Linked DNA regions of Oreochromis niloticus. The protein of the gene in region 3 interacts with the protein of the main gene of each other region in a pairwise test. Links are inferred from orthologs where the notes say so. Each region holds a gene or a part of one and is shown on either strand. Other genes may lie near its edges. The genes, in order: pard6b, pard6gb and prkci.

Region 1 (7,616 bases), on a different chromosome or scaffold from region 3:
CAGAAACATGTTTATGTAATCACTATGGATACACTGATTGTGAAATTATAGGCCAACAGCAGCATTTTGTTTCCAAATCTACTTCTTTCCCTTTTGTTGTGCTTATACCTCATTTACTCCATGATAACAAAAAAAAAAAAAGAAAGAAACAACTGACCCCATTTAAAGTCTTTCAGCTTTTTGTAACACAATCTTTGAACACTCAGCTCGTGTGAAATCTTGAAGACAGAACATATTAATGTTGACCACTGACATCAGTAAATGCCATGTTAATTGGCAATATGCCAATATCAGACACCAAGGCTGGTATAGTAAGACCTGCAGTAATCATACACATGAAATAAAGGTAAGCCATACTTGTGAGCATGAATTTAGAGCAGCCACAACTTATTCCTTTATTAGCTAAAGATTAAAAACTTATCTACAAGGGGAACTGCAAAAGCACAGCAATTATGGCAGGAACATTGGTAATGATTACACCAGAGCCAGCAAAGGAAGTTAGAAACTGCAGCAGCAGTGTTTACAGAAACACTGTTCGACAGCAGCACTGTCAAACTTGAAACCCGTATTTCCAAAACAGTCAGACACGTAAAAAAACAACTCCCATGCAGCTACCGAGCTGCAATACAAAACAGCCTACTGGACAAACTCAAAGTGAACTCCATTAGTCTACTCTTGTTGTTTTGCTCAGCTCTTATAGTGAACTCCTCATTTCAAGTGCATTCTTCCTCTCAACAAGCCCCCTAACCTTAGCTTAGTTAACTAGAAATCAATAAGGAAAAAAAATAGAGGCCAGTGGTTTAGCATTTACCATTTAGTTTGTTTCGCTGAACATGGCAACATACAACAAGTAGCCTAAAAACTTACAATGTAAAGTGACACTTAAGTATTTATAACTCTGTCACAGCTATAGTCAATAGCCTATCACATATTTCTAAGCTGTGCTTTTCAATGCTAATGACTGTATTTGCATTTCCAATGCAAAGCAGATGTAACCAAGCAAACAAATGAAAACTTGGGACTCTTTGTCCAAACACTTCCTCTGTGCATACCTTTCCTCTGGAGGAACAGCCTGAGTAGAGGGTTAGCTGTGGAGATGGCCTTGTGGTAATTGTCGTCATTGTTGATGGGCAGCAGGTCACCGTGCACGTCAGCATAGCCCACCAACAGCTCCACGTTGGGGATGCGATGCACATGCTGCAGGAGACCGTAGAACTCGTCGAAGCGGCCTGGCTTGGACCGATCCAGAGAGAACCGACGAAACTCTGCACCAAACTGGGATGGGGCAGAAAGGCGTTCACATGTGATTGCAAATGAACACACAAATACACACAGAGGTGTGACGTATGGCCGAAACCAGGGTATGAAACAGTGCTTGATAAGCCTACTTTGTACTGATGCGTAAGCCAAAGCACACCACGTGTGGTAAATTATTCACGTGTTTTGTGTATCTCTAGGCTTGCAGATTAAAGCTTTTATCAAGCTACCACACAGCGTATTTATCATGCAGCTATTAGAAAGACAGTGTGCTTTCAGCATATGTACAATCACCACAAACGTGTTGCTGGTTTACCCATTTAAGCCCGTGGGCTGACTGGATCAATGGCTGCAGATGCCTAATCTTTAGGCAGCTCTGTAGTTGAGACAGAGCACAATGCCTCATTGGTAGTGCTAGTGAGAGGTACCGGCTGTTGTGGTTACTGTTGCTCAGCACTGACAAAAGATGATCTCCCAGCTTAATCAGTTATTTTATGCATCAATGCAAAGCAGAGTTAATTTAATAAGTGGTTGGGGACATAAGGAAGATAATCTTAACTCAGAAGAGTCAAAAAACTTAAAAATCCCGGGATAGCTGATTAAATAATAATAATAGCTATAGTAACTAATCTAGGTAAAGTATGAGGAAGGCAAAAAATGAGTGTTGCAGCTGAAAATATTTGACAGCTTGTGTCAACGCGTCCAAAAACGTCTAGAACAATATAGTCATTATTCATTACACTTATGTGTGGTCATGCCTCAGCAGGGCGCGGATGGAGCCACGAGCCTGACGCAGGCCGTGTGACACCTGTAACCGCAGGCAAATAACACGACAGGCAACGACTGACACCTTTAACCGACGTAATTTGACATAAACTTTTGTTAATTTGAGCAAACTTTCCACGCAGATTAAATTAAGTTAAAGAGTTGACTCAAACTTGAAGTCAGTACTCGGTAAACGAGTAGGAGAGTACGGCGGAGAAGGCTGTGACAGGTGACACTGGCTCACTGCGCAGTCAGCTGACAAAAACCCTCCACCTTGCCACAAACTAGCTAGCCTTTAGACGTAAAACGACCAAAAAACTACGCCACGGTTACCAATAAAGTTTTAAGAATTGTAACCAAACACCCGGGTGGTCACAGTGAAAAACAAAACAAAAAAACCGTTAGCTCCTCTTAAAGTTTATAAGCCTTGCTTCATAATAACCCGCTATCAAGCCACTTTAGCAGGCTAAATTAGCAAGAGTGGATTTAATGAGGACGAAGGTTGTCGGGAGTACAAACACTGGAAGGATACCTGACAAATAAGTGTCCGTACCCACCTTGCTCTTCACCTCCACTGCATTCAGAGAACGGCTGCTCGGCACTCGGTGGTTTTTGTTCATGTTTCTCTAGCAGCGGGACCGCCGCCAAAGCACTCACACTCTCTCCCTGCTCCTGCCGCCGCTGCCAATGTCTATCCACAAACCCCGTGTGTCCACCAGTTGTTTTTAATGTTTTAGTTGTGGGGTGTTTCAGTCGCACAGACTACACCGCGACTTCTTGACGTCCGCCGGTATGAGTGGTCCCTCCACAGAATGCGACAGAGGCTGTCAATCAGCCAGCTTCAGCTCGTAAACTTGTCTCCTCTCATACTTGCCGCTGACACCGTAGCTACAGCCCCACAGCGTACCGTCTCTGGCTTACCTCTGCCTGCGACTCTCTCTCCCTGCCCGTACCCGGAGAGCCGGAGATACGGGACTTCAAAATAAAAGGCGTGGCATTTATAATACTCTGTGGCTTCAAAATAAGAGCCAGCTTCCACCTCACCAGCATTAGCCCACTCTGTCCTGGCACGGTGTGGCAACCATGCTCCAAATAGCTCGAACAATAATGAACAGTAATGCCTCATTTTTTGTTTTTAATGTCATTCATAAAAAAAAAAAAAACTATTTTAAGTGTGTGTGTGTGTGTGGGGGGGTGTTTGCCATCATGTTAACTGAAGCACTGATGCACTTAGAGTTGTACTTTCTCACTCTAATAACGTAATGATGACCATATCTCTAAAAACCCTAAATTAAAATCGTTTGCATTAACTATTTAAACAGTTATACTGTACCCAGTAAAAACTAATAGTGTAACAGAGATTTTATGATAGTTGAATGAAGTGTTACCTGCGTATGTAGAATTCATATGGGTACAAAAAATAAACTGTAGTTCCTGCTCTGGCTACATCTTGTGAGTGTTTTAATTTTATAGTGACATCTTATGGCCAAAACCAATATATACCTGCTGCAGCTGCTGGCTACCTGCCCGGTAAATGCAGATACTTAACCCTTTCAAACTCGATGCCTTCATGGTGACCCAGACCAAGAATTCCATCATAATAAATGTCTACAAGGTTTTGTTGTTGTAGACATATTAATTTACAATGTATAAACAGCCCATCTGACGTTATTAAATGGCTTATTGATGCGTAATTATTGTTTCCAAGACAAGGCATCGCGTAGTTTTTACATTTTACAACATTCATCTTTGGAGAAGGGCATCTCTCACACAATGCCATGTCCTTTTTTTTACATAAGACATAAAAACATGTTAGAAATAATTATTTAATTATATTTAATTGAAAGTGAAACTGGCATTCTGGAACTTTGGAATTTATTGTATAAACAGATAAAGAACTTTTTTAGCTGAATACAGCAAAAGGAATCTTAGCAGGGTTATTATCAGTGAGTGAAAACGACTAAAATATTCCTTTAAAGTTACTTTACAGAGTAACATTTTGACTATGAATAAAATCCTAAAATCCTTCTCTCTTTAAAAAAAAACCAAACAAACAAAAAAGCAACAACTTTAGAAGTCAGATTTAGTTGGTCAAATAACAAGAAAAATGCATCCCTCTGCACCGTCACTTTGACATTTTATATGAAAATCGAGATGTATTTGTTGAGTAAATAAAACATAACGCTAAAATTCCATTGATCAAAATTTCAGCTAAAAGCACTCACTTTAGTTCAGAAAATGAAAAAAATTGATAAGTTGCACAGTTGTACTAAGCATGTAACAAACTCACAGCTCGACGTTTGTTCACATATTACTTGTAGACACTAGAGGGAGACAGAGACTGCGAAGGGAGATGCATGTCCTTGTTTTAAAAACTACAAATGTCTCGATTTGAAGATGAAATATACACATATTTGACTGAGCGCAGAAAGCAGCAATGATTTATCTTCCTCTGAAAGACACAAAACACAACAGTTTTTTTTTTCAAAGCTTATACGTGTGTAGAAAATAGTCGGAGTTCCTCCTTCTGTATAATATCCTGCTTCATGCAGGCAAAGGATTCTTCACATGACTGGAAAACAGAAGGCAGACACAGGGTAGCTTATGTTGATACAGTCATGTGCTTTTCATTACAGATGGTGTTCCACTAAAACAACAAAAAAATCAAAATCAAAATTATTGAAACATGGGTTTTCTTCTTTTGCACATTTGTAACCTCATTAGACCCATCATAGGTTTAACCATATACATATTCCCACACAAGTGAGAGCAGCTACCTAAGTTTTACTCTCACACTGTCTGTATATCTTGTTAGTAGTGCTGCAGCCTCATTTTGCCTTAATTCTTTGTGTCTTTGTTTCAAAAAGGTCCAGAAACATTCCTCAGAGATGTTGGTCCACATTGAACTGAGCACATCCCAGAGGTGCTCTATTGGACTGGGAACTGGTGACAGGCGAGGCCATTTGAGTACAGTGACCTCACTGCCAGGTTCAACAAGCCAGTTTGATATAATTGAAACTTTGTAATGTGGAGCATTATCCTTTTGGAACCAGTCATCAGAAGATGGGTACACTGTGGCCATGAAGGGATGGTCATCAAAAACATTCAGGGAGGCTGTGGTATTTAAATAATGCTCAGCTGGAGCTAAGGGGCCTAAAGTGCACCAAGAAAACCCCCCACACACGATTACATCACTACAGTCAGCAGACTGAACCACTGATCCACAGCAGAATGGATCCATGCTTTCATGTCATTTACACAACATTTGTGATCCTACCATCTGAACTTTTCACCAGAAATCATGGTTCATAGACCAGATAATGTTTTTTTGTTTTGTTTTTTTTTTACAATGAAAACGTGCAAACTGTATCCTCCATTACCTGTTCTTAGCTGACATGAGTTTGTGGTCTTCTGCTGCAATAGTCCATCCAGGTCCAATGTGTTGTGCATTCATAGATGCTCTTCTGCAAACCTTGGTTGTAGCAAGTGGTTATATTTAAGTTCCTATCTCCTTCCTACCACCTTGAAACAGTGCTGTGCTGTGTCTTGGGTCTCAAAGAGACCATTTAGGTTATTTAAATGTATTCTTAGCCACTGAGTCACACTGCATTACTGAAATACTGTGTGACTACATGTGTTCTGATGACCTGGTTTGACCTCTGATGTTTTAGCACACAAAAGATTGAAAACAGGATGAAGCCATAAGCAGGTTACGAGGCTAATAACAGTCCTGTGTGTTTCCTTCTTGTAGAGGGTCTGTCTGTGTAACAAGAAGATGTGATAGAGGATGATGGAAGTGAAAAGAGAGAGAGGAGATAATGGAGGTTACCCTGAGGGTGGTGAGAAGAATGAGGAGAGTAAAGTAATTGTAGACTTCAATTTGATGACAAATGTGGAGAGAAGTCTGCTCACTTCTGAGCATATTGTAGATGTCACAGTCCCTGGGTTTCTTGGACTTTGAGAATCAAACATTGAACATCTAAAATAAGGGATTTTTTTTTAAACTGTTTATTCCTTGATTTTTATTTATGCAGAGCTTTTATGTGTTAGTTCCAGTTTGCATTTTCCCCTCATTGTTCCCTGACTCACCCTCCTGTCAGTTCCCCCTAAGTTTTGTCATGTATCCGTATAACCCTGTTTTATTTGATAGTTGCTTGACTTTAGTGTTTTGTGTTTAATTTGACTTCCTGCCTCCTGTCTTATTGTCTATGATTATTTTCACCTGTGTCCTGCTACCCTCCAGCTCCAGTTCCCTGATTACACTTTCATAAGTTTTGCACATACACTCTAAAAATTAATTCAGAGGCTTAGTAAATATCACTATAAATATAAGTTAGATGAACCTGATAAAATCTATGAATATCCTTTTAGTAATTATTTGAGTTTCATAAGTTGAAATAAACGTCTAAAATGTTAACGTATGTGTTTGTGTTAAATTAAGGTATTTATTTACATTTATCTCAGACAAAAAATTCAGTATGTGGTTCATGGAATACCTTCTTTGCATGTACTTAATATTTTTGTTTAAAATTGAATCAAAATATTTGAGAAATAGGTATCTATACTCATCAGTATCTTGTACTAAAATCATTAATTATTCAAATCAATATTATTTATTGTCAGCAACTACAACTGAAAAGTGTAAGTAAAACACGATAACGTAGAGTAATTGAGTACCATGAGCCTTTTTCATTGTTTTGTTCATTTTGTCTGTGAAGGTTCTCAGTCATCCAGGTCATCGTAAAGGAATTTGCAAAGAAAAGCGTCTGGACTTCTTTGAGTTGCTTGAAGACGTTTCACCTCTCATCCGAGAAGCTTCTTCAGTTCTAAGGTCAAATGGCCGAGAGTCCCAGATTTAAACCCAGTGGGAGTATCCCCCCAAGGAGGGACAAAGGACCCCCTGGTGATCCTCTAATCACATGAGCCAAGGTGTGAAAGCGGGTGTGGTACCTAATCAGCCAGGGTTTCGGGTGAGCTCATTGTGAAACCTGGCCCCACCTTGTCATGTGAATTCCTGAGGTCAGATAGCCCAGGATGTGAGTGGGCGTTGCCAGGATGCCAATGTTCACATTTTGGACAGAGAGGACAGATGGTTTGAAAGAGGAGTGAAAGAGGCCATCTATGTCCACTGTGAGCGACCATCTTTGAACAGAGGCGGTGGTTTACGACACCAACTGTCTGCCATCTATAATCCAGTTTTGAGTTCCCTCCCCAGACGCCTTAACGTGCACTCACATCCTGGGCCATCTGACCTCAGGAATTCACATGACAAGGTGGGGCCAGGTTTCACAATGAGCTCACCTGAAACCCTGGCTGATTAGGTACCACACCCGCTTTCACACCTTGGCTCATGTGATTAGAGGATCACCAGGGGGTCCTTTGTCCCTCCTTGGGGGGATACTCCCACTGGGTTTAAATCTGGGACTCTCCACCATTTGACCTTAGAACTGAAGAAGCTTCTCGGATGAGAGGTGAAACGTCTTCAAGCAACTCAAAGAAGTCCAGACGCTTTTCTTTGCAAATTCCTTTGACTTTTGTTCATTTTGTTTTTTAAATACTCTGAGCTTTTGTGTTTGCTCTCCTGGTTTGTCATT
Region 2 (7,692 bases), on a different chromosome or scaffold from region 3:
ATGTGCACCCCTGGTTATTTGGCATACGATTATTAAAAAGGGAGTGCACCTAAAGGCCATGTTTGCTTCTGCTTAACAAATTATTTAGACATTTTTTTTGGTTTAAAGAAAGTAATCACATAACAAAAATGCCTGCTCAAATGTTCAACTGCGCCCAAAGACACTCAAAAGCTACTTTTGGGGGCTTCCTTAATCACAAAAAGGTCACCGCAGCGACCAGTTGCATGCGTTTGACTTGGGAGATTTTTTTTTTTTCCCTCCTGTTGCAACCAAAGAAGCGATTTGCGTCTCCGTCTGCAATTGAACCGGCATCTTTCTCCTATCAGAGGTAGTTTCGAGTCATACAAAAACTCCACGTACTGAGAGAGAACTCCATGTTTAATAAAGTGGCTGTAGGAACCAACAGTAACTATTACAACTTTACAGTAACTACGTAGAGGAAATGAAAACCTGTTTGTCACGGCACAAGTTTACACAACTATATAAAAACAAAACAAATGTGAATGCGAGGATGATTCGAGTCTGTAAATAAGTCGTTTGGCTTTGGATATTTCTTGTTTCTTTATTGTTATGGAAACATATCTGTATCTAATGAGAAGGCAGGAAGCCTGTATAAATTTTAGTGTGTATTTTTTTGTTTTGTTCGCGTTTACATGAGAAGGTAAGTCTTGTTGAGTGTTACACAATTTATGAGTCCCAAACCTCATCAATGGGTCTTGTTTATGTTTTATAACTTTTATTTCATTTCATATTCTGTGTATTACTTAAAAATTTAACTACTGTTACTCATTAAAGTAAAGTATTAGGTTACATTTACAGCACGCTTTTAGTGCCAGTGTTGGCAGTCAGGAAAATCTCATTCTACAGGAAAGAAAGAGCAAGATAACTTTATCTTATTGGATAAAACAAACACTGACAAAGTTTAACTTTGAGGACATAATCTGCAGTTTGAAAATGATGATAGATTGCATTACATATTACTGCAACACTCAGAACATTGCAAAATGTTTAAAACTGCAATAATATTGTAATGCGACCAAAGTATTGTGAGGATATCGTATCTTTATTTACTACTAAATGATGAACTGAATTACGTGTAGCTGATCCTGCTCCTCTGTGCCTTCAGAGGCCCAGACTGTGGCAGAGCTATGTAACAGATAAGATTTCCCTTTACAGGTATTCAAATGTCCTCAACTGTCAGTGTGCTTTAAAAGACCCACAACAGTCACTTTCTCTCCAAATCATCAGCTTTCTTTCATCAACACGCTTAATTTCTTCACTGAGGGAGATGAGGGAACATGAGGGAACATGAGGGAAGGGTGTTAGAGCTCCCAACACACCCCAAACGGATCAAAACAAAACACAACCTGACGAAGTAGAACAAAATGTGAAACTGCTTAAAGTGACGTGACGGAGAGGGATGAGTCACATCTGATCCAAAAGTGGAAACGTGTGACGTCGTGGCATGACGGTGTGCCGTGGTGACGCCGTGGACCTGTCTGTTCTAGCCACAGAGCTCCTGGCGTGCCAGTCCCACCCACAAACAATCTGCGGCAGCCACGGAGTGACCACTCCTGTCTCTGTGGAACAAACCCTGCAGCAAAAAAAAGGCAAAACAACAAAAAGAACAAAAAACCCACCTACACACACACAAACACTACTCCCCTTTTTTGGCCGTTTCTGTGTAAGTACATGCTCACCCACCTGTCACCATCAGAGCATCTGTGCTCCATCTGTCCACCACCCCACTGAAACTGGGCGGCCAAAAGGTGGAAACAACTCAGGAGTGAATGAGTCACCTTTTGCACCACTTGCCCATCTCTCCCTTTAACCCTCAGGTGTGAACACATGCGAATACTCACAAATAAATAAATCAGAAACACTGGATTAGAATGCAGGTCACCAGCAATCATTGTGGGGTTCACAAGTGATGAGTGTCAGCTGGTAGTTCTTCACAGAGCCCACACAAACTGTCACTTGTGTAATAAAAAAACAAAACAAAAATAAAACTCTTCCTCTACAGTATAAACTTAAATAAGAACCGCATAGCTCATGTGGATGTATTGTGTACGTGTTGAGATGAAAAGCTTCATAAATCAGGGCACTCCATTGAGACATAACACTTGAAATCTTGGCAATCCACTTGATGTTTGTGTGTCCATTAGTCTGTCAGCGTTTAAAAAAATGATCCAAAACAAAGAGCTAGGCTGATACTGTGTAGCAAGACAAAAACTCAGTGCAACTAATGCAACGTCTGATTTTAACAGGTGGAAACTTTGTTGCTGTAGGAAATCTGGAGAACTAGGTGCTTCAAAAACAACCCCGTTACCCACCTACCCAGCCCCCCTCCATCAACCACCCACAGCAGCATCGGGATAGAAAAAGTCAAATCAGCACAATCTGGATCGGAAGTAAGAAGCAAACAATCACTGCAAATGAGAGAAACATCCAGAACCTGTAACTTTCCCCGCACAACTCACGGGGAAAAAAGCGGAAATAGTTATGTGGCGTAGGCTGCACACCGTCCGACCAACTCCGGCTCCGTGACGGGACAGCCATGTGAACATTTATCATTATTATTATTATTTTAATCCCCCCGAATCCTATCCACCAACGCCACCACCAAGCAGGGCTTTCAAGTTTCCACTCACCTTGCTTTTCACTTCCACAGCGTTGCAGTTAGGATTTCGCAGAGGTTGCGACTTATTAAAGCTCCGATTCATTTTTTTCCCGTTTGAAGGAAAAAAAAAAAAAGAAAAAAAAAAGTTCAGCCGCCTTTGCCCACAGAGAGAGGGGCTCTGGTCCCGGGCTTTCTGCTCTAAAAAATTCTCCCTGTTCGCTTCTTCCACAGAACTTGGTGTTTCTTTCACCTCCCCGACTTCTTTTTTCTTTTCTCAGTGCGCTCCGACAGACATGAGGGAGGACTTCACGAGAGAGCAGGAGGTGTGCGACTCGCCGCGTTGACTTGAGGAGTGTGAGTTAAGTTTTGAAAATGACATCAGCCCTCTTAAAAAAAACGGGATTCTGGGATGCATTCACGTACCGCACGAAATCCCCAACTCCCTCAGGCGGGATCTCTTTGTATCCTTACTGTAGTCAGTAAAGGCTGAGTAAATAACAGCTACTACTGATGATGGATTAAGGTTTAAGAATGTATGCTATCGCAAAACAAACAAACAAAACACACACAAATATTTATAACAATGACAACTTGATATGTATTATGTCCTGTTAATAAAATGATCATATTAAATCAGCCGTGTTTAGTCGTCTTTTGATGCATATGAAGCAAAAATGAAGCAAAAATAATTAAACTAAAATATATATTTTTTTTAAATCTCAAAAGTAGGCAGACTTCCTCTAACCCCGCCCTGTCCAATTTATAGCCTAATATATTCAGAGTAAAAAAAAAAAGAGTGGTCTTTCCGGTTAGTTGGTGTATTTCCAGGATCTGTGAAGGCAGCACTGCGCACGCTGGACCTCCGAGACACCAGAGGACGCGATTTTCTAAGCATTTTTAAAAACGGTCTGTATTTAAATGATTGAATTCATTGATCCCAACAAGGTGGTGTAAGCCTACAAACCCTGTGGTGTGGAACATATATCTTTTAATATAAAAAAATCCCCCAACAACAACATAAATTGGGTTTAAGAGTTCAGTTTACAATCATTACCTCTGTAAGTGAAGGTGAAGCGTGAGCCACTGGGAACTCAAACACATAAAAACACCATAGTGTGAAGAAAACAGCCACATATCTTTATATTTAACCATCTGCTGTAGCCTGCTCAACTTTTCAGATACATAACAGGTGAAGATTTACTTGTATTTTTACATTGTCTTCATAATATGGAGTTAAATGTGGCCTATGATACCATTAAGTCTTATTTTTGTGATCTTTTACAGACCATAAAACCATCTTTTTATCCAGGTTACACAGGATTTGTAACAAGACCTGCCACCCAACTTGGGTGGCCAAGAGGAAGCTATTCTTCTGTCAGCAGAGAGCTTCAAAGTGCACCAGGTAAACATCTCTAATTGGCCCTGGAACGTGATAATCTCACACCCCCTCCTTTGTGAGGTATAGGCATCCAGAGCCATTCAACCTGAACCAAAAACCTCACAGCGTAAGAACCAGCTGATCGGGAATATTCATTTTCAGCTGGGTTAATTAGCATCCATGACCGCAATCCTGCTTGACAGCATTCCTGGGCCCCTGAAGCTGGCTGTGCACAACAGCTGCAGGCTGCATGCCCCCCCGTCCACACACACACACACACACACACACACACACACACACACACACACACACCCTCTCAGTAGCTGAAAGTGCTGCTGGTTTACTCTCTTCAGGAATGTGTTGACTGCTTACAAACAGAACCCAAACCCAGGTTTCACTGCGATCCTGCAGCACAGACACTGCAGTGCTCCTTATGTGACTGCATGCAGGGATAGTTACGCTGTAGTAGATTTAGTGTGTAAATGTTTATCAACTGTAGTCAGAACTACATCTGATGGGTGCCCGCAATCAAGTTAGGACTTATTAGCATGAAAAAGAAGAGACGGTGATTTTTGTGTGTTTCTGCAACATCTGATGCTCGTCATATTTGCTGGTAGTTAATAATTAATGAAATATTGTAAGGTGAATGAGGTGGTGCTCTATATAACTAGCGTTAAGAAAACGAGTAGTTAAGCTTATTGCGCCCACTAACGGCCGATGTGTGGTATTGTTTTAATGACTTTAACAGTGCAACAGTTACAGCGTGACTTAGTCAGTGTGCTTTAGTAAATTCAAAAATCTGCATATGTTTTAACTGAATTATGGTGGAAAAATACTGACCTTCCTCTACATAAAGTTAAATCTTTTACATTTTTCACCATCTGGGCCTGAATCATCACAGGTGATTGCCATAAACCTACCATAAGGAAAGATGGATAGATGTTTTTGTTGTGTGTCAATCAGAAGAATTAATTCCAATGTTCCCTGGTTGCCAAAACTTGGAAGAACGTCCATCCATTTCCATAATTAGCATCTGAATCAGAATACTTTAATAACCTCAGAGGAAATTATGTGGTCACAGTTGATCCAATAGGAACTAACTAAACTAAATAGAATAATACAATATATTACAGAATATAACAAAATCGCTCTAATAAATACAAATAGCTCTAATCATAAATATCCCTGTATATTACACGAAATTACATATATATGGGTGACACTGAGGTGCCCCTTTTGTTATATTAATTGTAACTTTTCTTTGTAGAGGATGTGATATTAAGGGTGTGCAACTATTGCAGTGTGTACTTGTGTAGATGGAGGAGTTGTACAGAGTGATGGCCATAGGAAGAAATGACTTCCTGTGTCATTCAGTGGTGCATTTGGGTAACGCGCTCCTGTGACTGACCAACACATCATGGAGTCGATGAGAGTTTATTGTCCAGTATTGTATCTATCTTGGACAACAACCACCTCTCTGACACCACCTTGAGTCCAGCTCCATCCCTACAATGCTACTGGTCTTACGGATCAATTTATTGAGTCTGTTGTCATCCACGACACTCAACCTGCTGCTCCGGCATGCAACCGCTGGTGTCCTAGGGAAAAAAGCAGAGCACATCTTGGTCAGGTTGCTGATCTGCTGCAGGGCGCTTGGAAGAACGATCTAACACGAGTAAAAATGACACGGTCTGAAGGTTTAGGGATGTTGTCTTGCCACGAACTATTGTGGATGCTGTCAGTGAAGGTAGGTTTTCAGTTTTTCTGTTTGTCATCAACATTACACAAAAAGTAAATGTCATGAAACTTCATTGAGCAGTAGTGGAGCATGGGCAAAGGAAGATCTCACTAAATTTTAGTGTTGGCCCACATTGCCTCTTTAAAACTGCAGTATAGTGTATTGGCGTTGGCAGGGGAACCCCCTTTTAGTTTTCTGTGCAACTAAAGTATCTTGGCTTGAAGATATTTATTTTCTTCTTGTCTCAAAAGCCAGGCAATCAATTAGGAGAGAAAGAGACAAAGGGGGATGCACATCTACTTTAATCAGCTATCTTGCAGCAAAGCCATTTACATGATTTTTCTTTTTCTGTAGATGGTGGGGCAACATCCAGACTTTCTTTTAAATATAAAACTTTATGCAACATCAAAGAGAATGAATGGGTTTTTTTAAAACATAGATTTTCATCTCACATCTTCAATGATTTTACAAGAATACTGTATTTGTCATCAAGGAAACAAAACAAAGCCATAACTCATAAAGAAGCTTCAATCACTAGTATGTTCTTTGAAATGGAAGTTATAAGGCTTTCATGATCAATGAGGATTACAAGGCAAACATATAAATTTACTCTGGACGTGAATAAAAATAAAATAAAACCACATCAAAGGCGCTGACTACACACAAGTAATCAATCAGCTCGATACAGACAAAACCAACTAGGATGTTGGCTGAGCAAAGCCATCCAATACTCTATTCAGAATGAGTCTAAATCTATTATAGTTATCTCAAAACACGACAAGGGGGTCTGCCACTGCTTTGGGACTGATCAGCAGTGAGATGAGTCTATATACCAACAAACAGCAGTGTCCAGAGGCCCCGAGCCACCCCTTATTTCTTGATATTTTGCTGGAAAAATAGGAAATATGTGCCGTGATTTATTTAAACAAGTGTACATGGAAATATAGTGTATAAGTGGAAAACAGACTTTGTATTCTAACAAGCTTGGAAGTCAATATTTGGTATTCCCAACTTTATTCTTCACCACAGCCTGAACTTTTTTTGACAGGCTTTCTAGTAATTTCTTTAATAAATCTCCAGGAATAGTTATCCAGGCTTCTTGAAGGACATTCAAAGTTCTTCTTTGGATTTTGGGTGTCATCTGTTATGTCTCTTGTCAAGATGATCCCACACTGCTTCAATAATGTTGAGCTCTGGGGAGGCCAATCCATGGTTGATAGTGTTGTATTGTGTGTTTTTCTATCCAGGTGTGTTTTTATGGCATTGGCAGTGTGTTTTGGATCATTGTCATGCTGAAAAATGAAACTGTTACCAACCAGACACTTGAAATGCAGCACCAAATGATGACAGAGCCTCCACCATGTTTTAGAGATGGTTGCAGACCTCTCTCCTGACGTCCTTGATACATAATGACAATGATTTGAATCAAAAATATAAAATTTGGATTAATTATTCCGTAAGACCTGTTGCCACTGATTAACAGAACGCAGTTCATCTCACTGATTCATGTCAGTGATAAGTGGCTTGGAATGTTTTGGAAGCAAAATAGAAAGAAAAAACAAAAAGGTGGTTCAAGGCTTTTGTACAGTCCTGTATGTTAACCAGATTTTTGGTACAATAAGCAAGTGGCTGTAATGGTGACAGTGAAATATTCAATCTTAATTGTGTTTATGGTTGATTTAATTGCATATTCTTCTTTTTAGTGAACAAAAAAACAAACTAGGACAGACTGGATTGAATGGATAAGATGAGCTGCACGTTACTATCGTGCGAGATCAATCAATTGGAGACCAGAACAACAAACGACGGAGGCACCAGACAAGTGCAATCAAACGATGAGTTTATTAACACCGGAGAGGAAACATCAGCATATGTCTTCCTCTGACAAAAATACATTGAATGCTGGTTTTATAGCATAGAAAATTAACGCCCACACATACATGTCAATACAGGTCA
Region 3 (7,235 bases):
CCGCAGAGGAAAATGTTGAAATGTTATGCTCTACACAAAGCTCCATTCCCCATCTCTGGTCTTTTGTCACAGGAAATATTGCTGTTCTGAATGCCGATATGTCACACCGTGCGATGATGCTTGCTTAACAAGAGACTCAAACAAAAGATTTAATGCCCTATTTCAGCTTATTTATAAGATACTGTTCCCTATACAGCCAGTATGATTTGTTTTTTGTTTTTTTTCCTAACGGGTTTAACACAGGCCGCATGGACACAATGTTTTAGGTACATCTTTTAACTGCAGTGAGTTTTTTATTAAAAACGTCTTTTCTTCATTGTCATTTTTCTTCACTGCCTATGCAATTTAGGTTTGCAGAACCTATCCCAGCTTTCATGGGGCAAAAGAAAGAGTACACCTTGGACAGGTGACCAGGTCATCACAGGGCTAATACACCTACAGCCAATTTAGAATCACCTAACAAGCCCATCTTTGGACTGTGAAAGAAACCAGAATATCCAGAGATCCTACACACAAAGACCCCAGATGGCCGGCATGTTCGAATCCCGAACGTTCTTGCTGTGATCCTGTGACAGCACACCACCCTCCGACAGACTTAAACTTGGACTTGAGATCTGTGGACACTGTTTAAAAAGAAGCTAAACATCCAGCTGTGCAGTATTGCCTTTATTATTTCATCTAAGTGTACCACTTTAATTGTTGTATCCTATTTTATACTGTAAAGCACTTTTTGACTTTTGTTGTTGAAAAGCACTCGATAGACTAACTTTAATTATACTGTAATAACAGTAATATAAAAAATTTTTATGGCAGTCTGTTAACTGATCAAACAATGAACTGTTTTAATTCTGAAGTTTAACCACATACTCAGTTTTAGTGAAGCCATTTATACAATAAGGTGTATAAAGATGTGTTGTTGTGGTCTTATAAAAACAGTCAGTAAACAGCTTCGACATGACACTACTGCCTAATCTACTTTATTGATTTGGTGCATTACCAACTTAAACATCTTTCAGTCCTAACTTCTGCAGCGAAAGAAAACAACTCAGATGACATCCTGGCTTAATGCATCCCGATAGCAGAATCATGAGACCATTACACTGCAATCTCTCTTTGGCAGCATAGTTGAGATTCCTCAGCCGTCGCGTCAGAAATATTTCACATGCCTCGCTCTGCGAGATGCCACCCAATAATCAACACACATCACAGAGGTACTGAGGTGTGTCACACGGGTATGGCTGAAGTGACTTGCACTACACGTTTTTCAAGTCTTGGCTGGTCTCCAATCTCTTGACTCCATCAAACAGAGGCAAAGAAACAACTGAGTAATCAATTATTTCTATCATGACAAACAACTGTGAAACTAAATGCTTATTTAGCATGACAGAAACTCAAAGACAATGCCGTCCACCTGGATATGTCATACATCAATGGAAAATACAGAGATGTGTATTGTTCAGGTCTTGTGCTGAAGTCTGTTTGCTAAATGACTTGGCTTAGGCTTTCCTTTATGTAAATATTAGGTTATCGGGGGATTTTCCTCTATAGAAAACATGTTGGCACCTACCAGAGAGGTTCTGACATTCCACAAAGGAAAATCACCGAAACTTTGATAATACCTTCAAACAGCATCTTTGCTCTAAGCTTAAAATTGATTTTTGTTCAGCAAATGGCCACAAATAGCAAGAAAATGCTGGAAAGTTCAATAACACGGTCTCTTTATCCTTTTTTGAGCCAGGCAAAACTCTGATATGCTACAGTTCTGGCTACAATGTAAACAACAAAAGTTGATAAACTGTTCCTAAACTAGTCAGAAACATTATGATGGTTGCTGCTGTTTTTGAATTGTAAACCAAAAGATTTCCCACTGCCAGCTCATATGTCCTTTACTGTATGTGACACAGTTATAACCTGATTACAGCTTGATATTTTTTGAAACAAAATAAAAAACAAATCTTTAGATTTAATGACTTTTTCCTTAAGTTTACTACTATGAGTGAAACAAGCATTTATAATGAGCTCATCATATCTACATATAAATGTGGTACATGGTTTCGTTGTTGTAACTAATACCACGTAAGTACGGGATAACAGAGGCTGAAAATAATAGGTCTACATTACATTGTCTAACTGGAAAGGCTTGAACATCACTACTTAATTTGGATTTTTAAAGCTCCTCAGTTATTGTGAAAGCTCAACAATTGTTAGGATTTCCTGCTATCACATTGTGCATCCCTAAGTGAAACAACAGCGGTATTTTAGGACATGCTGTGCTGCCAGAGATAGGAGAAAATAAACGTAAAGACGATCAATAACATGACGCCAAATCCTTATCAACTTAGATAGCAACTGTTAGCCCGCTGCTGAGAGACTAGCTCCAAAGCTTTCGAGCTGAGACAGATTTAACTAATTTAAACCACATGACAACTTCGCTGTCTAGCTGAAAAATTTCTCAGATACCACCGAGACTGACTTTTCGACAGGCGGAGTGCCTGGACAGTGTCACCTGTCCGCCTGCCCAAGTTTACCGAAACCCGGTGGTTCCCAACATTAGCCAGCCGTTAGCTGACTGAGCTAGTGTTAGCCAGCTTATTAGCCGTCTTTCCAACTGGTGCTAGTTATTCCCAATTGGATATATTAAATACTAAAAGACATGGTTATTTCTTACCCTTTGTAGTAAGCTTTCACCCGGACTTGGTGGGAATTCTCGCCGGGGTGGGACATGGTGCCGTCCCGCAACGTCGGCATCATAAGCTCAGCCGTGGACAGTCCGACTCAACGATATCGTCCTTCCTATCTACCTTGCTTCCTACTTTGGCCCGGTACCACGCCCTAAACTGTTAATTTTTACGGTCCGTCGACAAACCAAATGAATAACGAATCAAGTGATGCCAAAAGCTGAGTATTTGCCCTTCTTTAGACAAACAAAAATAACAGGTAAAGTATAGAAAAACTTGCGGGGTCCGCCAAACAACTCCCCACTGCAAAGGCCTAACCACGGGCCAGTCCATTATCGGAATGTAACAGGGGGCGCGCATAACTTGGTATATTCGTTCCAACTAGAATTGTATTTTGTTAAAAGACAAAACACACAATTTCACATTGGTTTATTATTTATCGATTATAACAAACCAGTGGGATACGGTCAAAAACTCCGAAAGGTCAGATATAACTTTTGGCATCACTGGACTGTACCAACTCAAGCCTTTTATACAGGTAAGTGCTGCATTCGTGTTCAAACATTTAGGCTCGGAAAGGAAAGACCCTCGAGACATGTTGCGCATTCAAGCGCATTGGTTTGGAATGAACAACCAAATTGACCTGTGACAAAAACATGTGCTAAAAATACAATAAAATAAAATTTTACAAACGAGTTAGCTGCTGTGATGGGGTGTAAAATAACGTGAAGTGTTTTATCTTCTTTTAAATATAGAATATTCTTTCAATTCAACTTAAATGTTTACTATATTTACAAATAGACTGGGTACAATTATAAGGGCATGTATGAGGTATGCAGTAGGAGTGACAGATGACTTCAAGGTTAGGGTTGTCAAGATCCGTCAATTGGTTCATGCGCTCTCTCCGGGTTGGGCTGGGCAGGAATAATCCACCCTCCTGGGACGGAGTTCTGGATTTCTCGCTCCTCAACCAGTAGGACCACCTGTGCCTCATCAGACCTGTGCATTCCCCCAGAGTTCTGTGAAAGTCTTCTATTGTCTGAATTCCTTTTTGTGTGAAATAAGTCTTTATGAAAAAAGTCTAGGACGGTCTGTCTTGGTTTTGCTTTTGAGTTCACTAGTTTTGCTCGCCTATCAGGCCTGACAAGGGTGGAGCTACATCAGGGATCAGGTTGGAGCCCCTTCTTGTTTCTGATGCTGATGACAGGTTGATGGTAGTTTCTGTGAAATGTGTTTGTGATCTGTAGTTAGAGTAGGGAGCAGGTGGAAGAGAGCTTGGAGAGGTGGAGGTATGCCCTGGAGAGCAGAGGAACGTCGAGTGTCAGGGTTGATTTGTGACAGAAGGAAGGGTTTGCAAGATGAACGTGAGAACTGCTATGGTGTCTGGTTTGAAGATTGTAGTACTGACAAGGACAAGATGCAAAAACTAAGATTTTAAGCTTTTCACTGGGAGTGACAGGATTAGAAAGGAGTACATCAGAGGGACGGCTCAGGTCGAGCAGTCTGGAGACAAAGTCAAAGAGCTAAGGCTGAGATGGTTTGTGGATGTGCAGAAGCATAGTGGATATATTGGATAAAGGATGCTGAATATGTGGAGCTGTCAGGCAGGAGGAAACGAGGAAGCACACAGATGTGGATGTGGTAAAGGAGGGCATGGTTCATTCTCGTTTTCAAAAGTTAGCAGATTCGTCTCTGTAGCCTGGCTTTCTGGCAGCAAAGACTGCAATCATGGCTCTCCTGCAGTTTCGCATCATTCATCAGTTATTCATGATCTTCACAAGTAGCCTGTAGCTCAAAACATGTGCCAGCTGATGGATGCTTTTTTTTCAGACAAAAGACAAAAACAGAAGATAAAAATCTTTAAATCTTATGCAGATAAAGCAAAAAAGGAGACGGTAGGCTGTGACAAGATTATAATATAAGAGCTAACTTGAGCTTTTCTTTAATCTCGTTAGCAAAGGAGTTGGAAAGGTTACATGAAATCAGCATAAAGTGTCACATCATTTTTGTCTCTCACTGAGTTTGAGATTTGGTCACGGCATGAGACCAAATCTAATCATAGTAAAATAAACTCTATTCTGACGCAAAATATCACATTTTTACGTGTTTAAATGGCCTGATTGTATTTCCATAGGAAGTAAATTTCGTCTCTCGTCCCAACACAGTATTACGGGACTCGTCACCCAAGCTGCAAGCATAGCAACCGCGTAAAACGGAGCTTTAAAAGGATATTTATTTTAACCCAAACCACCCTCTGTTTGTAACAAAGTGAACTTGATTTTATTTTAAATATCCTAACCATAACAAAGTAATCTTTAATAAATACAGATAAAGTTTGAGGAAAACCGTGACGTCTCTGTGTGAGAAAGATTTGCACCAACCTCCGAGTGTGTGTGTCATTATTAGTAGTATGCTCCTTTCACGCACGTGGGTACACATCAGTAGGCCTACATATGTAGACTGGAGGTCGGGACTATTTCACGAACTCCTTGAAACTGAACTTGGGATTTCTTAAAAATTCATAGCTGCTGGGATGAAAAGCTTGTTCGGTTGTGCCAAAAAGTGATTGCCTGCCAAAAACTGATTTCCAATGTTTCCATGGGCTTTTTATGTGTAATATCATTACGTATGTTGCTAAATAGACTTTTTTGGTGAACGGGTATTACAAAGGGGTTATATATAAAATTTAAAAATTACCTGTTTCTCAAGTATCTTTAACTGTGTTATTGTACTTACATTATAATCAATCTGGTCCCTTTTATCCACTTAAAATATGTTTACAGAACTATTGTTGCATTTGTTGCAATTTCAGCCGTCCTCTTGGCCAGATTACTCTTAAAAGAGACATTTTTAAAGTCAACAAGAGTTTTTTTTTTAACTGCGAAAATAAAGGAAAAGTCACTGCCAAAACCTGATTGTGGCTTCTACCTTGTTACAGGAATGTTGTTTGTTGCTCAAGATGACTTGATATCATTCATGAGTGATACATTTGATATGTTTCACATATTATAGACCAACAAGTTATTTATAGCAGTTTAAATACAAGCAATCAGTTTTTGGCAAATACCGGAAATCAGTTTTTGGCAGACGATCACTTTTTGGCACAACACCTGGGATGATTTAATTCAGTTTGGGTCCTGGGGAGGGGGTCAGTCATTACAGGAAATGAAACTACTTTGACAAAGATGACAGGACTGAAGAAAACGAATGATGGGACTCCACAATTTGTTTTTAATTCAGTTCCGTTTTATTCAGCGCCAATTCACAATAACAGTCGCCTCAAGGGGCTTTAAAGACCCTATAAAGACCCCAAAAGACAGACGACCGCCTAGTAAGCACTTGGCGACAGTGGGAACACTGTAAAATCTAATTAGTTCCCAGAACTCAAAAAAATTATGGAAACTCGTTGCCTCAAAAAAATTGAGTAAAGCTTAGCTAAAAATGACTAAGTTAGGACAACTTATTTACTTTGAGTACTCTGTACAAGCTCATTTGTTCCCAGAACTCAAAAAAATTGGATCAAGTTTACGTAAGATGACCAAGTTAGGGCAACTTACTCATTTTGAGTACACTGTACAGCCTTGTTAGTTCCCAGAACTCAAAAAAATTATGGAAACTCGTTGCCTCAAAAAAACTAAGTAAAGCTTACTTAAGATGACTGTTAGGACAACTTATACATTGCAAGTATGCAGTATTAAGAATAACTTGATATTTCTGACTGTACAATACTATTTGTTTACCTACTGACAAACATTTCAAGTTTAACTAAATGAAAAAACAATTTGTGTAACCTGAATGTGATTAAAAATAATTAACAACACTTTTTGTAACGATGTTAAAAATCAGCCCAACTTTTATTTTCAAACACAACAAAGTACAACAGCCAACGTGATGGACACTGTTCTGCTGAACAACAAACAATTATATTGCCATCACTGTTTTAATCTTACAATGAAACAAAGTCTCAGATGTAATTATTCTGAAAATAAGTTTAGGTCTACCACAAGTTTGTTTTGTACTTACATTACTTATATAATCAAAACAAAATATTTGTTGTTCTGTCACAAGTGCAGTCTCTGATTTAAACAACACATTTGTTTTCCATTCCAACACATGAGCTGGAATGTTGTATTATTTTAAGGATGCTTGTTTCCAGTCCAGGCATTACTGCCTGAATGACTGTCATGGATCGAGGTGATCCAATGTAGGTGCAGAAGAAAGTCTTTAACTTCCCTTAAGTACAGTGGCAGTGGATGTGGGTTGGAGATGCAATGAGCTTGAACCTGCAGGCGACCATCTTCACACCATCTGTGACGGAGGACTCATCTCTCCTGTTGTCCTGCAAGCAAACAATCATATTTTTTGGAACATGAACTTAATTGCTTTCTTAAAACATTTTTTTCTGCATTCGGTATAGAACAGACTCCAATTTAGACGATCTCAGGCTCCCTCCCCACCGGAGAGGTGACATTCAATGTCCCACTTGTCAGTCTGCATAGCCCTGACCACCACCCAACATACAATAATGTCATGAAAGCATCATTTTAAAAAGGGCTA

What was found.
Region 1: the proteins of prkci (region 3) and pard6b interact in binary tests that used the Homo sapiens proteins (3 or more experiments, as listed by UniProt). The link is inferred for Oreochromis niloticus from reciprocal best matches to the Homo sapiens genes PRKCI and PARD6B.
Region 2: the proteins of prkci (region 3) and pard6gb interact in binary tests that used the Homo sapiens proteins (3 or more experiments, as listed by UniProt). The link is inferred for Oreochromis niloticus from reciprocal best matches to the Homo sapiens genes PRKCI and PARD6G.

The regions. Positions count from the first base shown.
Region 1 is NC_031984.2:31,749,345-31,756,960, reverse strand, and holds the start of pard6b (partitioning defective 6 homolog beta), read right to left. Parts: upstream 3,002-7,616; 5' UTR 2,643-3,001; coding exon 2,580-2,642; intron 1,276-2,579; coding exon 1,053-1,275; intron 1-1,052. UniProt on the Homo sapiens protein: Adapter protein involved in asymmetrical cell division and cell polarization processes. Probably involved in formation of epithelial tight junctions.
Region 2 is NC_031985.2:20,080,878-20,088,569, forward strand, and holds the start of pard6gb (par-6 family cell polarity regulator gamma b), read right to left. Parts: upstream 3,005-7,692; 5' UTR 2,724-3,004; coding exon 2,652-2,723; intron 1-2,651. UniProt on the Homo sapiens protein: Adapter protein involved in asymmetrical cell division and cell polarization processes. May play a role in the formation of epithelial tight junctions. The PARD6-PARD3 complex links GTP-bound Rho small GTPases to atypical protein kinase C proteins.
Region 3 is NC_031982.2:22,788,928-22,796,162, forward strand, and holds the start of prkci (protein kinase C iota type), read right to left. Parts: upstream 3,017-7,235; 5' UTR 2,752-3,016; coding exon 2,669-2,751; intron 1-2,668.